2 linked regions of the Caenorhabditis elegans genome follow. The protein of the gene in region 2 interacts with the protein of the main gene of each other region in a pairwise test. Each region holds a gene or a part of one and is shown on either strand. Other genes may lie near its edges.

Region 1 (4,569 bases), on a different chromosome or scaffold from region 2:
TTTGTGCTGAAATCCCACGTATCTGCCACATGAATGTACCCCGATCTATCGGCAGAGATGAGACGATGTCCATCGGCAGATATTCTGGAATTTATGAGATTTAGAATACCTTCAATTTAAAGTTTTGAAAATAAAGTACTTTAGTCCATAAATTTGTGATTTGTGAAGAGATTTCTCAGCAATTGCTCCACGTGTGCTCCGAATATCAAATAGTCCAATTGTTCCATCTCGTCGTCCTGCATATAAGTAATGATGTTTTGATGGATACCACTGTACAACATCAATTGGTTCATCATTCCAATATATCGATTGAGGTAGATCCATTCCGACTCTGAAATGATATTTATTTTGAAATATAAAATGTTAATTAATTTTAATTAAATTTTAAATTTTGAAATAATTCATAAAAATTTAAGACAAGAGGTTCGACCAGGGGAAATTGTAAGACCAAAGTTTTAGAAAGTTAGGCAGTCATAACAAAATATAGCTCTTGTTCAATACAAGATCCACTAGCCTTCAGGCACGTAGGCAGGCATTTCGTGGAACTTTTAAAGCTTACCTAAAATCTATAATTTTCATTGATCTCCCTCCATCTGCCACGGCAACTTTTGAATTTGTCATATTATACTCATTCCAATCAAAATAAACATCTCCTTCAAATTGTTTCCCATGAACCACTTTTTCCATGGTACTATCACAAACTCGCATCCAATTTGATGCTGTTGTAACCATGAAAAGGCGAAGATCGATTGGACACCATTTTATTGTTTTCAGAGATTGCTTCGCAAGTTTTCTGAAATCTTGATAAATTTTAGAATTATTGCGGTTGTTACATACAGAGTCATAGGTTTCTTCCACTTTTTACGATCCAAGTATTTATATTTGGCAACTGACACTGAACCACTATGAGATCCAAATAGTAGCCTGAAAAATCAATTTTTTTTAAACAAACTCCTAATTAAACCAACATTTGGTCACCATCATCTATATCAATCGCACTAATATCTTCTTGATGGCCTTTCCCCGTCTGATCACAACCCATAGGAATATGTTTTGTCCATCGAAAATTCAAAAGAGCCCGTGAAACTTGTTGTTCTTCGAAAACTCGGCGTTTTCTGCAAAAAATTTCAAATATAACTCAAATTTTAAAAAAAATTAGTACAGTAAGAAAATCTAGGCCTGTAAATTCATAAAAGTTTAAAGTCGTTGCGGGACCCGTCTGGTTTTCTGACTCTTGCGCCTTGAAAAAATTGCGGTACTGTCATTTATTTTCTTTATTTGCGCATTTTAACATTAAATTTCTCTATTTTTCTCGTTTGTTTTAAATTTTAATTATGCATTTGCACTTTTTTTTCAAAATTATTACGAAATTCACATAAAAACCGCAAAACTCACTTCAAATCACAGCTGAACATGTACTCCTCGTGACGAACAGTCATTTTCCTGTTGAGAAATTATAGAAACATGCGAATAAATATATTACGATTAAATAAAAAGCTCAAACGTTGCTGTTAATTTGAATATCCTCCTTAAAACAGCCAATGGCCTAGAGTCCACCAAACAAGTTCATTCTCGGCCGCACCGGTTTTCCGTTATTTACCGGGCACTGATTCATCTGTTTCCAGACCGGTTGCAAAATTAGTTTGATAAAAATTTCAATTTCCACAAGGAAATATTTAGTTCAGAAATAGTAACAAAAGTAAAAAAGGTGCAGAAGTGTAAACAAACGGGCGAGAACACGTGGTTTTATCGATTTTTGCTTTAAACATCTGCATTCCGTCCTCTAAACTTTATGTGTCATTTATTGGCATTCAATTTGATTTTCTTTCAGATTTTCAGCCATTATGGCTGCAATAATCAATCAACGCGTCGAACAGGGCGAATCAAGTATGGGAGGAGCCAAACCAGGTTGGTGAATTGAAAACGAACCATTTGATTTCCATAACCTGTGTAATTTTCGAATTTATTTTAATTTTCAGCTCTTCTTCACAGAATCACTGGCCACGTGGCTCGTATCAATGACGTCATTTTACTATCAAAAGACGAAGGAGTCTGGACTGCAAGTGATGATAGATCCGTTCGCCTGTACTTAAAAAGAGATAATGATCAATTTTGGCCGTCAATTCATCATTTCATGCCAGTTGCTCCAACAAGTCTTTATTACAGTGAAGAAACTTATAAGTTAGTTTAAAGTTTAAATCGTTTTATTTTTTAAATTTTTAATTTTTTTATTCAGGCTGCTCGTCGGACTTATCAATGGAAATGTCTATGAATTCAGTGTTGCCGATGACTTTAACAGTATGACAGAATCCCGAAAATGGACATGTCACGCTGGACCAATCTCTGGACTCGGCTTTGCACTCTCCTCCGAGCTCATTTTCAGCTGTTCTCGAGATAAATCTATCGTCTGGCATTGTTCAGAAAATTCAAATAAGATGGGAAGTTATCTTTTGGAAAATAGTTGTACAGCAATGGTCATTGATCTTCCATTTGTATTCGTTGGAGATCATGGTGGGCATGTCACTGTTCTTCGTATTGTCGATAATCAACCAAATCTTGTCAGCAAGCTTAGTGCACATACGAGTGAGTTTTTATCGTATTCTTTTTTTTTGAGTAAAATATTAATTCGAAATTTTAAATGCTATCGTGCCTAGGAAAAATATTTGTTAAGTATAACATTCCAGTATTTCCTGAAATTCCCCACAATCAATACAATTAGTAATTGTGGTTTGAATTAGTTCAATGATTTTTCAGATGCAATCACCTCGCTCACATGGGACGGAAATAAGAAAGTTTTGTATTCTGGAAGCAGTGATCATCTCATCATAATGTGGGATATCGGAGGAGGAAGAGGAGAAGCTTATGAGCTTAAGTGAGTGTATATTTCTGGAATTTACGTGATATTTCGAAAGTGTTGATGTTTTTCGAGCGCAAAAGTTGAATTATATTTAGTTGAAATAGATTTTTCCAAATTAAAAAATGTTTTTTTCAGCGGACACAATGGAAAAGTGACAACACTATGCGCAGCTCCAGCAGCCAAACGTCTGTTCTCGGCTGACGAACACGGAAAGCTCATGTGCTGGGACATGAATTGCAAGAGAGTTGAGACTCCTGAATGGAAAACTTCGGATTGCTGTCAGAAATGCAATCAACCGTTCTTCTGGAATCTTCAAGCAATGTGGCAGAGGAAAGTGGTCGGATTGAGACAACATCACTGCAGAACCTGTGGATCAGCAGTCTGTGGATCTTGCTGTGACAACTGGACCACCTATCCACCAATGGGATATGAGACGAAAATTCGCATTTGTAATGACTGCAATGCACGAATGAAAGATAATCCACAGAATTTCAAGTAAGTTGTAAAGCAAATGACTGATGAAACTTATTTTCAATTTTAGCCTTACTCCACTTGCAATTCCACATGAAATCCATACTGGAATCACTGCTATGCATCTCCAGGAAACTCTCGGACTTCTAGTTACCAGTGGACAGAATCGTGTGATTATGATTTGGGATGTTCGAAGTGTTTGCTCTGCCCCTTCTGGATCACAATAAACAATTGCTTCTACTTCTCGAATTTCTCATAATTCTTTGTATTTCATCTAATTTATTTCCTCTCCTTTCTATTTTGTATATTCACTCTCAAAATGCCCATCCTTCCCCAAGACCAATTGTTGTCAAATCAAGACCTTCTAAAACTTACCAATATTTCCCGATACCCCTGACAGGTTGTCCTGAATAGTGATTGTGATTCTTACTTTTCTTCTAATCCCGATAATTTCCTAGTTTTTCGACTGTAAAATTGTATTTTTACAACAAAGTTTGAAAAAAAATCTTTTTTTTTGAAGTTTTTGGACAGAACGACTAGAAATTATTTCAAAAGAATGCATGCCGGGAGAGTAGGTGAGGTTGGTGACACTGGATGAAGGAGAAAGCTCACAGGAAGTACACAAAATAGCTGAGTTTTTGATGTTTATAAGAACGCTACGCGAAATTATGACTACGGGGAAAATTAAAAAATTGAGGAGAAATTATCAACATCCGCAAGCTCCTGCGCTGCTGTTTTGAGGGAAACTTCTTTCGGATAGGCACACGGATTGTGACCTCATAATACCAGTTTTAAGGCCTTCCCAGCCATCCACGGGCCGCAGTTCTCCGTCGTCGACTCGATTTTGAATCTAAAAATTTGAAAATTACATCATAAAATTGAAACATTTTCAAAAAAACCTCTTGTGCAATCATATGAAAAGCTTCATTAACATTGTCTCCTGTTCTCGACGACGTCTCGATAAACTTCATTTTATGGTACTTGGCAAAGTACTCGCCTTCCTCATAGTTTACCTGAAAGCTTTTAACCAATTTTTTAAACACAACTTTTGTTCAAAAATTACCTGTCGCTGTGAATCCATATCACTTTTTGTTCCGACTAATTGGAAGACACACTTCGATGGGCTTGGACCACCCAAATTTAATGCTGCTTCTTTAACCCAATTTTCAACATGCTCAAAACTTTCTCGATTCGTTGTGTCGTAGATTGCAAGGACTCCAACAGAATTCCGATAGTAGGAT
Region 2 (3,136 bases):
ATCCTCTCGGATCGGCCACCATCTCCACCAGTCGATCAGCAAGCTGAACTTCGAGCACATGCCGAAGCCTATCGGACTTCAGTTCTTACGAAGCTTCAGAAAATCCGAGCAGATGCTGCTGGACCCTCATCGCCTTCTGAAAAAATTGCTGTTGATGCTGAGAATCTTGTTCCTCTTGCGACTTCGAAAAAGTATTCGGCATTGAACTCCTTAAAAATCAGTGAAGCAGATAAAGTGGCAATTCGGCCAACATATAATAAGTATCGTTACGAGACCCCGAATGATGGAGGAAATGGAGTTTATGATGATGAATACGATGATGAGTTTGATGGAAGAGAATTCAATATTGAAAGATTAAAGTTAGTTTTTGGTCAGATTTAAATTCATATTGCACTGCAACTTTTAAATTAAAATCATGAGAATATTAATTTCAGCCAAGAACTAGAAACATCGTCAGAAGAGGATGAAGCTGGATCTTCTGCACCACCTGGTTTATCTCAACCACCTCCATATCAAGGATCCCGTGGTGGACGTGGAGGTCGTGGAGCCCGAGGTGGCAATCGTGGTGGAGCCCCATCTGCAGATGGATATACTGGAGGACATGATCGTCAAATGAAAGAGAAACACAAGTCGGATATCAAGCAACGTGGAGCTGATAGAAAGAAACGAGGAGTTTATTGAGAATTCGATTTACAAACCAATGATTTCTTTACACTTGTGATAGCAATACAATTCGGTGTAAATTTGGCTGGGTGATAAATAAATTATATCAGTTTAAAAAAAAACATGTTCAAAAAAAAATCCCGTGCGTGTCAAAGTGTCAGTTCCGTAAATTTCCATAAATTCAGAGAGCTCAGTTTTCCTCCTCTCCAGGCGGCGGTGGAGTCACCAGAACCCATGTTTCGGTGAATTTCAGAGCTGGCTCAGACCATTCCTTGAGTTTATCGAAGCCATTTGTGGTGATCGAGAGGAAGAGCCCGGTTTTAGCGAAGTAATAGAATGGGACTCCAGGAAGAGCAGAATAGTCAAAAAGTGAAACCATTGCATAGAGAATCCAATAGAGGAGAATGTTGTCTGATGGATTCTTCTGTTGGCGGAGGATCTGTAAGAGTGTTCAGTTGATTTCTAATGAAAATGAAGATAGTTGAAATTTACCATGAAGCTCTCTTTGACTGGCCAGAAGATGCAAATGATATGAGAGAAGAGTGGGAGGAAGTTGCCGAGAAGAACGTAGATGGAAAGCATCAGGAATGCCATTGAGACGATCTGAAAACAAATATTGTTTTTAATTAAGACATTATATAACCTACTCTTTCTCTTGGAATTCCAGAAAACTTTTCAGCTTGAGTGAAAGTCTTTTCTTTCCAGTCTTCCTTGTTTCTTGCTTTCAAATACTCGTTGATTTTTGACTCGATTTTTGCAATAATTGTCGCCATTTTTGAATATCTGGAAATTATGTAATGTGGGAAGTCGCGCTCTACCGAACTATTCAACATTTTCGAAGATTACATAATAAGAAAAGACTGATCAAATATCAAGAAGGAAGTTAAAAAGAGAGGAAACGATGAAATGTGAAAATATTAAAGTCACATAAAGCGAGGCGAAAAACAAAACGAACGATAAAATAATAAAAAGGGATGGAAAAGTGAGGAACAAAAGACGGCAAAGATGAGAATCAATTGCAAATCGTGGCTTTTTATAAAATTATGCATGCAATAATGATTAGTCGGTGAGAAATTGCGAAACTATTTAAAAACCGATTACTTTTTTTCTTCAAAAAAGTCATGGTCAGTTTTCGTTATTTTGATGGAAAGTTTGCTGGGTGGTAGGACAGCAAAGACTCTCGTTTTCTATTTGTTTTAGATATCGTATGAGTCATACAATTAGTTTTCGATAAGTTGAGATTTTATCATAAAGCCGATAAGCTTTAATGGAAACTTTCAAAAATTAAACTTATTTTCCAAATGTAAATGTATAAATGTTTCCAGAAATATATCGGTTCTAGCTCGCAAAGACGAACAACAAAACAAAGAAATGAGCATATTTCTGCCATTTGCAACATACAAGAGAGGAGCAGATGGAACGTTTTCACCTGAGCACTGCACTCTCTTAATCTACAGTACTATCTCACTCAATTATATAGAGCAAATGATGCACAGACGGATTATAGAGGGACCGTATCGATTGGTATCGATACGAACGAAGAGAGAGACCGCTTGTCTACGTCACTGCCTACCAAATAGCTCCGGCATAGGTCTGTCTTTGTACCTACTTGGAATGCCTGAAAGATGTGCAAAAAAGAGAAGAACACTGGAATATTCCAGTTCTGACAAAACATTATATTAAAAAGAAGACATGTTTTTCAAAATATGTTACTCAAAAAAGTTTCATAAAAACTATGTAGTGAACTGAAATAAACGCTTCCAGAGTTTGTTTGTTGCATTCTTGTCGATGCACCATGTTTCTCTCAACTTTGACAACTGATATATTGACCATCTTTATTAAAAAAAAAAAGTTTTCTCAAAAATTGTCAACTATCAAACTATTTCAAACGATTTATGCTTTTTTCTATGAAATAGCAGTTTGAAATTTACTGAAATTTTTAAATTGAACCGGCATTTCAGTTCTATGAAATAGCAGTTTGAAATTTACTGAAATTTTTAAATTGAACCGGCATTTCAGTTGCCAAATTTATACCATTCTTTCTTGTCTATGCACCATGCTTGCACAAAACTCAAACAGCTGATATCTCGGTTGGAATTGCCTTCTCCATTAGAAATTTAACACCAAGGAAGATGGTGTCTGAATTTTTTAAATAGTTGGTTAGATTGGTGAACAGCGAAAAATTACAATATCTATAGCGAACAGAATCATTTGATAAACATACTGCAATTACAGGGGCACAAATCACAGGGGGACAATATGAATCCTGGAAATAACTCGAAAATTCGATTCTTCAATCTACAGTAATCTTTTGTAGAATTTTGAATCAAATTTCACATGTTAATTATCTACAAAGCTAATATTTCAATAAAACTATCTATAACCCCAAAATCATTCCCTTTTGCATGATCACAATTATGTGACGTATCCAATTGTGTCATCCGTTTTTTGAGATTTGGAGTTTATAGTCAAA

Evidence for each region.
Region 1: the proteins of C06E1.1 (region 2) and wdfy-2 interact in binary tests that used the Caenorhabditis elegans proteins (3 or more experiments, as listed by UniProt).

The regions. Positions count from the first base shown.
Region 1 is NC_003280.10:9,318,034-9,322,602, forward strand, and holds wdfy-2 (WD repeat and FYVE domain-containing protein 2), read left to right. Parts: upstream 1-1,831; 5' UTR 1,832-1,844; coding exon 1,845-1,908; intron 1,909-1,979; coding exon 1,980-2,181; intron 2,182-2,236; coding exon 2,237-2,583; intron 2,584-2,754; coding exon 2,755-2,872; intron 2,873-2,992; coding exon 2,993-3,352; intron 3,353-3,398; coding exon 3,399-3,555; 3' UTR 3,556-3,845; downstream 3,846-4,569. Other genes in the region: csa-1 (WD_REPEATS_REGION domain-containing protein), read right to left, coding at 1-84, 140-331, 560-793, 838-924, 969-1,115, 1,396-1,439; Ras-related protein rab-39, read right to left, coding at 4,035-4,178, 4,228-4,341, 4,392-4,569. UniProt on the Caenorhabditis elegans protein: Plays a role in coelomocyte endocytosis.
Region 2 is NC_003281.10:8,604,144-8,607,279, reverse strand, and holds C06E1.1 (HVA22/TB2/DP1 family protein), read right to left. Parts: upstream 1,449-3,136; 5' UTR 1,437-1,448; coding exon 1,311-1,436; intron 1,267-1,310; coding exon 1,156-1,266; intron 1,103-1,155; coding exon 854-1,102; 3' UTR 682-853; downstream 1-681. Other genes in the region: C06E1.9 (ASCC2 family CUE domain-containing protein), read left to right, coding at 1-359, 435-681.